2 linked regions of the Nothobranchius furzeri genome follow. The protein of the gene in region 2 purifies or fractionates together with the protein of the main gene of each other region. This does not show direct contact. Links are inferred from orthologs where the notes say so. Each region holds a gene or a part of one and is shown on either strand. Other genes may lie near its edges.

Region 1 (4,530 bases), on a different chromosome or scaffold from region 2:
ATCTGAGAAACAGGAAGGGTTTTCTTCCAAATTTAGACGCTAACGCCATTTTTATTCCCAACAGGAATTAAGCACAGATTAGGCTTTAATATTAGAAACATGCAAACAGAGAAGGTTTAAATTTAACAACATCGGTTCCTCTTTTGTTTTTTCTTCCACTAAAAGCGCACACACAAGCCAAATACACTCCTAAATGATCTCTAAGGTTACTGAAACTATTAGAACTAGCTGCCACACAACCGTGGAAAAAGGAAGGGTGTCTGCAACCTTGGTCTGGAAGGACGTCCTTGCACAGCTCAAGTACAACTCTGCAGCGTTCCCAGGTAACGGTCATGTTATCACTGCACGGTCATGCTAACTAGTAGCTTAAAACATCAAACAGCTATCAAACCCGTCCGTCTTGACGCCATGAGGCAGGCCTGTGAGGCAAGCGTCATCGTGCACGATGAGAACACAACACGCTGCAACTAAAGAACACTCCTTTTAACAAGCAGATGACGTTCACGAGTTAAAAAAAACATCTTTATCACGCTCTTCTTACTAAATTACATGATTGCTGAGCTGTTTAGTTTGTAATTTAGCATTTTACAAATGAAACATTTAAAGTAGCTTAAAATAAAGGGAAAACGTACAAATGAGTTTAAACTTACAGTGATTGCTCCGTACACCATCATGGCGCTGATGGTAAGCATCAGCAGCGAGATAGCAAATCCAACACAAGCATTTTCTGTAGAAGAGATTAAAAACTAATGAGCAAATATTAGTTTAGAACAGCTTCGGCTTCATCTGTAAATGTTTAGCGAGCTACTTTAATGTTTTGTCTTTGTGCTGCAGGAGGCAGCTGTGATTTGCCAACACTGATAAGTGGACAGTCTCCCGGGCCGGCAGACTCACTTTGTATTAAAAGACAGCTCTAGGGAGCGTTAATCCTTTCAGCTGGGCTGGTAACGATATGAAGCTCAGTGTAGGACAATTAAATGATCTTCCTTTCATAGCCTTTTTACCCTTATCAATCATCCTCTCGCTTTAACTGCTGCGTTGGGAATGCCTGGGAGAGCTGCAGCGATGCAGCCGACACACCACAGGTCAGACTGGATAATACACACACCGGAATGAAACGTCTAGTGAAAATAAGCCTCTCTATTTGAGCTGATGACAATATTTTAATTATCTAAACATCTAAACTGTCTAAGGGAGTCTTTGTAAATGTTTTGTGCTCTTTCAGAGCACACCATTACAGTAAACACAGTTTTACCATCAAGGACTAATGACAAATAATGTCTCAATATTATTTGTGCAAGCTGTGCAACCCTGAAATAGGAAAACCAGCTCTCAGAAGTTATTTCTCCTTTTCTCTGGCTAATTCATTGCTTAAAAAAAGGCCAACCAATGATAAAAGCCACCCACTAAGCCTCATCATATTATCTTTACAAGACAAATTGTACCAAAGGGCAACAATTGATGGAAATAGATTAACAAATCCTCAAAATAGCCAATGAATAACTTATGTGGAAACATGTGCAGATTCCAAAAATAGAAAATGTTTTTTCACTAGTCTTTGTGTTGGTGAGCTAACTATCTGTACATTATGTTGAGGATTTCAAAGAATTTATGTTACACAATCTTGATACGTAGACATAATAATACAAGGACATTTCAATACATTCCGCTGTTTATTGGAGTTTTTAGACGACTTTTCCACTCACCGGACATCCTGTCGGAGGCAAAGTAATGGTCAATGACCTCGTACTGCAAGTCAATGGTAGGAACATTCTCTGGGTGCGTCACGGCCACAGTCAGAAGGATGCCCATCAACAGGTTGACTACCTGGAGTTCAGGAAAGAGTAGGGAAATGTTTAGTGAACACAAAATACAATAACAAAAATGCAATTATTGTGTTTGTAAACTATATTATAGCGCTTTCTAAAAAAAATGCAAGTGTCACAAGTAAGACAGTGGAGGGGGATACAGCCACTAGCAACAAAACAAGAAACACATATATTACATTCTTTCTTTTGGTAGATACAGTACATAATTGTGGATTTGATCTATTTGGAAGGTAATTAAACAAAAAAGTAAAAATTTTCATAATAAAACTAAGTCGGTGTCTTCCATAAAAATATTCAGCAAATTTGACCTATTTAGTAAAACATATATTCAGTCAATACTCGTGTTTTTAAATTGTGTCCATCTATAAAATAAAATTTTTTATTATGGAACTAATCATTATCTTAACGAGTTAGAATAAGGGTGTTTTTAAGGGGACACTGCGGAATCCCTTTACCCGTTACATTCATGTTGGCCGAGCCTCGGCTAAGTCAAATGTCTTCATATCTCACTTGTGTACAAAAAAATCCCAATTCTGACTACGTTTGGTCTTTTTTGTGACTTTAAGAACAAAAAAATATCCGTTTCAACTGGAAAAGACAACTAATGAGTTAGCAAGTTGTCGTTAACATTAGCATCCTGCTAGCATTACCTCAACTAGCTACGGCTATTTTAAGAGTCAAAATGACACACTGGGTAAAGTCACGCAAGTAAAGACCAATATAAGATAATTTTTAATTATATCCTGAAGAGATTAGTTACGTAACTCAACACTTATGCGGATTTTTGACAAGCGAACAGCGCAGGCTAGCGTACGCGATCACACAGTTATCGAGAACCATCTTACGCACCATGTACCATGTTCCCAAGATAATGGTCCCAGTTCGAACATGGCAACATCCACAGCACCGGGTGGTGTACAGTCTATCCCGACTTGGTTTAAAATGATGCATGTCCTCTACGAGAGTAGGGAGAAACATCTGGTCGAATTACCGAAAAGCCTGCTCAGCATCAACAGTCAGCGAACGAACACAGAGGAACGCCCACTCCGACGACCTGCGCACACCGCGGATGAAAACAAACGCTCAACAAACCGGAAAAGGCGGAGTCTGATTTCTTGACTGACGGGAGTTTAAGCCAATGACCACGTACCGCATAAAACTACTCAGCATCTTTTTAAGTGACAATTAGCATTTACTTAGATGTTCTGACAGTTTTAACATCTGTTTGCGTTTTTTAAATTTTAAATAACCGACAATGCTTCACAAAAACATAAATGTCAAAGAAATGAAGGAATTTCATGATCAAACATCAATCCAATCCAATAAAAAAGAACAAATAATTCAGACTTGTTTCATAAAAACAATGTTTTTGCTTAATCTGTTATGCTAACCTAGTTTAAGATGTAATTTTAGCTGAAAAAAACAACTACTTCAGAATAAGTGCACCACCATCCAACCCCAAGCTTGTACTTGCTAAATTATTTACAATTAAATTAAATTCTATAATCAGAAAAGGAAAAAATGCAAAAAAAATCAAAATAGAACTTGCTTCTCCTTTTCTGTCCCTGTTTATGCAGCAAATTTTTTGCATTAGTTGCATCTTTTGATTAGTTTTACCATAAACCATGGAGACAGATGAGTTTATACTTTTAATCATGTCATACATGGTGAAGTCCTAAATTAGAAGCAGATTGAGCTTCTCAGACTCAGTTTAAAATGTTTATTTTGGCATTTGTTCTAACTGATAATTTAGAGTTTGCTTTGTCAATAAGCTGAAATTATGTGAAATATAGAATGAAAACGTATTCCACTTTCACATTCCACAGTTCACAACACCACATTTCTATGTATCGTGTCACTTTTTGTTTCATAAAGTCTTAAATGAAAATCACTGATGAAATAGTTTCAGAGGTATTTTTTATTATTACAGAATAACAAAAAATATATGCACACATATATTGCACGACAGAAGCATAATTTAACTGTTTCTTCATGTTTTTATACATTACCCCACTGTTTTCCTTCCTTAGATCTATGAGGTGCCATTTGTAAAGTCAAACAGTCGTAACTTAGCAGTATTTTGGGTTATTTAGCATGCTCATAAAAAATGGGAGTTCATTTTTCAAAGTAAAAATTTCCCCATGTTATTCATACATTTATAAATATTAAAGATCCCAAGAAAATATTTAGTTAGCGAGCTAAATATTTAATTTAGCGTTAATTAATCAATTTACAAACTAAATATTTAGGTCTGACCTAAATATTTAGTTTACTTAATTATTTATTTATTTTATTCACTAAATATTTTATTTGGAGCTTAATATTTGGTGTACAAACAAAATATTTAGCTTCAAGTTCAATATTTATTTTTCTAAATAAATATTTAGATCCAAGCTTAACCTCAAATTTAGATTTTACAAATGTTTAGCTCAAAAATAAGTATTTAGATGCAATCTATTTTTTAAAGAAAATAAATATTTAATTTATTTAATGTATTTAAATATTTTGTTTGTAAACTAAATATTTTGTTCCAAATTAAATATGTAGTAAATTATTTATTTTACAAACTAAATATCTGGGTTTGACCTAAATATTTTGTTTGTAAAACAAATATTTAACTCTAAGTTAAATATTTTTGCTTGCTTACTAACTATTTAAATGGTAACTTTAACAATTATAAATGTATGAATAACATGGTGAA
Region 2 (4,436 bases):
TAATCAAATAAGTACAGACAGATATATTAGTAAAGCTAGAAAACCGTAATAGACTTTAACTCCACAGAGTTTTGGCTAGCAGCTATGAATGTAACTGAACTACAGTAGCTCTGCATGGACAAGACGTCAAAAACTATAAGCACAAAAGACTTCAATAAACGGGACACATTTCTTCCCTGCAAATAAATTTTCACAGGTGATGCCAATACCTATGCGACTTCAAGGGATGTGCTCCTGGCTGCAAAGCATTGCACCTTCGAATACAAGATTTTGTCTTGGCTTGTGAGTGTTTATGGATGTGTAGACAAATAAACTTGTTGATATGATATGTAGATACATATGTAGATACATAAACTTGTTTATATTCAGTACAAGTTACATTTTTTTTCTGCTTCCGTTAGTTGAAAAATATGAGAAAAACCCCTTGAGAAAATAATCGTGAATTCAATCACAATTGCAGTATTGAAGAAAACATCGCAATTAAGATTGTTTTCCAAAATCGTTCAGCCCTAGTAAAAGGATATGAAAACAAACCTTTGCAGATTTAAAAAGTCTTAAGTGGACCCTCTTTGACAACCTGCTAAACGCAGGAAGAGACTGACAGCTGATATTTCACAAACATTGCTTGGTGGGGGGACCCACAGGGATGGTAGCACGCCACCCGTTTACTTGGAAACGAGCACACACACACACACACACATGTACGCAGATAGCCGACATGACTGTGCACCACTCTAGTATCATGCTGTTAAATTTGAATCCACAGGTTTTGGGCAGTGCTACAGACCAGCAGACTATCCGGAGTCAGGGGGAATATTTCAGAGGCACCTTATTTATATCGGCATGGGGCACTGCGCTTCCCAACTCTATAAATAGCCATGGTAAATACTTAACCTGATCACTTATAGTGCTAACAGAATAATAAAAGTGGAAAACTCTACTGAAATTGTGTTTTCACACTGATGAATGCTGGTATTCACAAGATGGAGAACCTGTCTTTCTAATTTACACATTTCTTGGTATCCAATATGCAGATGGATTTACTGTAATGTAACTGAACACCTCTGAATGTTTGTCCACACACAGCTTGTTAAATACATGACTTAAAGTTAAAGGGCTTCTCAGTTACTAGAAGTCTTGTAACCAGTCTAATGCTAAAGTCAAAGCAAAAACAGTTTAAGACTTTAGGGTGACATTATTCCAGTGTACTGGAACTTAGAAATTTTCATTGATGAAAACAACCAATCAGTTAAAAGCTGCAAGTTTACAACAAACAATTAATCAAGCGGTGTTTATTTATACTACTCATTAGAAACTCTCGATATGTCTGAACATTGATGCAGGAGAGGCTGAACCAATGACGGAGTGGAATCTACTCAAACTTGTTTGACAACAGTGGCAGCAGGTCTAGAGTGCTGACAAAAGGCTACTAGGTGATCAATATAAAGCCTCTAAAGAGTTAGAAATGTCATACTCACCTTGTCATTTTGAACTGAACCCTTTACTGCATTACTTTCTTTGTGATTCTTAACATCTGTAACAGAGCTTCGCAACCTTCCGGGGTAGCATGGGGATAAATGAATGTGCACATGTGGGGAGCGAGGGCTGCAGAGCTCGGGGTTAGAAACGTGGCATGAAATTCCAGTGTTAGGGTAGGGCACCTCGAGGGAAAAGCTCCTCTGTATGGCACGATGCTTTTCACCAAGCCCGATTTGATCTTTTCCAGACAAACCGCTTTTATCGTTTTTCTCTGATGGCTTGGATGAAGAAAACAAACAAGCAGAGGTACTGCGATACAGTTTTCTGTGATTGATGTTTTCCCTTTGAGATAGGTGAACTTGGTGGTGAGCTTCGTTGGCTGCAACCATTTCCACAACTCCCTTGGTAGATACTGTTGGTTTCTGGTGGGCAAAATGCAGCAGCACGCTGCTAGAGTGAAGATTAGGTCTGTCTGAGGCTGACGGAAGCTCCATCAACGCGCTATTGCCTTCTGATTTGCATTTTGTTCCATCCTGTAGAGGAATATTAAAGTGGACCATGTGTTTCATGTCCCTAAGTTCAGATGAGCAGCTTCGTTTTGATGTTTGGTGTCCACTTGCTACAGTGGAGCTCGCCCCTACTTTCTCTTGGGAGAAATCACTGAAAGACGTCTGAAGATGTGACTGATTAGTACCCTTTGGCAGTGGGTAAGCAAACGGAGTCACAGCACATCCTGGGGAAGCAGGTGGAGTGCTACATGGGCTCTTCGGAATAATAATCAGTGAGGAGCATCGTCGCAGCGGGACCTTGGACTTGCGACAAAGCAGAGTCCTCTCCTGGATTGTCCTGTGCTTTTCTGGAAGCTCTGGCTCAAAGATGCTGCTGCTGCTACAGTACCCCGCATCGCTGGCCATGCTGCTGTTGCATGAACCTCCGTCAGAGCCGGTACCTGCTCCAACTTCACAAGCCCCTGGTTCTCCATCTTCTAAACTGCAATCCAGTTTTCCACCGAGTTTCCCACAGGGCTGCAGCGCAATTTGCAAAACGCTCTTCTTATTACACCCTCCAGCGTGAACCCTGGGTATGAACACTGAAGAGCACTGACTGCTGGCAACGTCTGGTGACAGAGGAGTCACCTTCAAGTGAACAGAGCTGTGCGCCAGATTCTCCGCTGGGCCATGAGCCGACAGACTGACTCCACTCTCTTCACCTTGGCTGCTGAGGCTTTCCGACAGGGGGTCCGTGTTGCTTCTCCTTGACGCAAAATGCAAACGGAGCTGATGTGACATTTGTTCAACTCACTAATCCCTGTAGGGCTGGCGAGACGTACATGATCAAACTTGCTGGTGGAAAAAAAAAACGAGAGCAAACGCAACAGCTCCATGCGCTGTGATCACAATCATTAGTAGCTGCGCATTGCCAAAATAGCTCTGGTGACAAGCTACATTCCTCTCCAGGCTGATCTCAGCTTTTAGTCAGAGCAGGCCAGTGGTTCTGTTTGGAGACATGACCCAAACACATGACCTTTCAAACCGAACCATTAGCCCCTTTAAAATTCCTCGGCCCAATAAAGAAGAACAAAGCTACTCTAAAGATAATTGGAAAACCTTTTCCTCAGCTTTGCATTCTAATAAAAGCCTAGCGTAACTCGACTGTGCCTCCAAAAAAAAAAACAGACAAATTAGCATTTTTCTTCTGAAAATAAAGAAAAACAAACAAAAGCATGACAGTCCAACGTGCTGCATTTTAGACTGAAGCTCTGGTAAAGTGTCACATCTGCGTTGGCCCATTCGCTCAGGACTCCTGCTGCTGCTATGCTACTAATGTTTCTGCTGCTCTGTGCCCCACAAATAGTTTTACCCATTGCTATTGAATTACAGGAAATCAAACGAGTGAATGTCAACAAAATTCTGCATCAAACCAAGGAGCAGGTTGCAAAAGCACATTTCAGACAGTAAATCACAGAGCTCATTAGGATAACACAAGAGCTCCTTTTAGTGTTTTAGCAGTGACTTTAAATATTTCCTGCAGGGAACAGGACAGCTGCTGCCTAATGAGAAAAACGTGAGGTTTTAAGAAAAAATAAATGTCATGAAACTGGTTATCTGATGCCTCATGTAACAGTCAATGCTGCTCTTATTACTTCTCCATAGATGTTGACAGTTTAATTTATTAACAGTGAGGCTGCCTGACCTATTTCAGGGCATTACTTTGCTTCCAAAGTATAATAATGGAAGTCACGGCCGGGATAAGGACATGACTCACTGCAGGACGCTGTGGAACTCCTAACCTATTTTTTAAACCAACAGAACCGTGTGACAGTAATGCAATGGCCATACAATATCAAATGCTTATATAGAATGACGTCATGCGGCAATAATACAGAGACACGTCCCTTAAGAACTCCATGAGTTTGGTATCAAAGTGAACAAAAACAAAGGCGGTATTTAATCAACTTTTCAGAGAACCAGTCTGCTGTGTAGTCACTACAAGCTGAGTCAGAGAGGTGTGGTTCGAGTAAAGACTGGAAAAATCAATCAGCAGGTGCAGCAGGTGGATGAACTAGTTTCTTAAGCTGTGTTTATTTACTTTTAGGTATTTAACCAACCTCTCAGTCACTGTGTAACAGTTACTGTTTGTATGCAGCATCTAATCTGGAATATGCTACATCGATGGTTTAGTTCTTGAATGTTTTTAAAACAGTTCAAGTTTTTAATCCTCTACAGTACAGACTATTTTGAACAATTTAGGGGAAAATTCTACTAATTTAATAATAAACAACAGGTTAAAAGAGTGAGAAGGCAATTTGTAAAAGTCCAGTTTGTACATCAATGTTCTCAGTTTGGTTCCATTTCCGAGTGGCTGAAGGAGCTGCTTGATCTGTGTTGATCTTTGTTCTACAGCAAATCTTTTCCTTATTACTACTATGTAAAGATTTTTAGTATATTTTTCCTTGA

The links.
Region 1: the proteins of nedd4a (region 2) and laptm4a purify together in Homo sapiens (affinity purification with western blotting; 3 studies listed by BioGRID). This does not show direct contact. The link is inferred for Nothobranchius furzeri from reciprocal best matches to the Homo sapiens genes NEDD4 and LAPTM4A.

Annotation. Positions count from the first base shown.
Region 1 is NC_091742.1:7,584,892-7,589,421, reverse strand, and holds the start of laptm4a (lysosomal-associated transmembrane protein 4A), read right to left. Parts: upstream 2,909-4,530; 5' UTR 2,808-2,908; coding exon 2,679-2,807; intron 1,828-2,678; coding exon 1,707-1,827; intron 728-1,706; coding exon 651-727; intron 1-650. UniProt on the Homo sapiens protein: May function in the transport of nucleosides and/or nucleoside derivatives between the cytosol and the lumen of an intracellular membrane-bound compartment.
Region 2 is NC_091749.1:60,023,877-60,028,312, reverse strand, and holds the start of nedd4a (E3 ubiquitin-protein ligase NEDD4), read right to left. Parts: upstream 2,976-4,436; 5' UTR 2,769-2,975; coding exon 1,479-2,768; intron 1-1,478. UniProt on the Homo sapiens protein: E3 ubiquitin-protein ligase which accepts ubiquitin from an E2 ubiquitin-conjugating enzyme in the form of a thioester and then directly transfers the ubiquitin to targeted substrates. Specifically ubiquitinates 'Lys-63' in target proteins.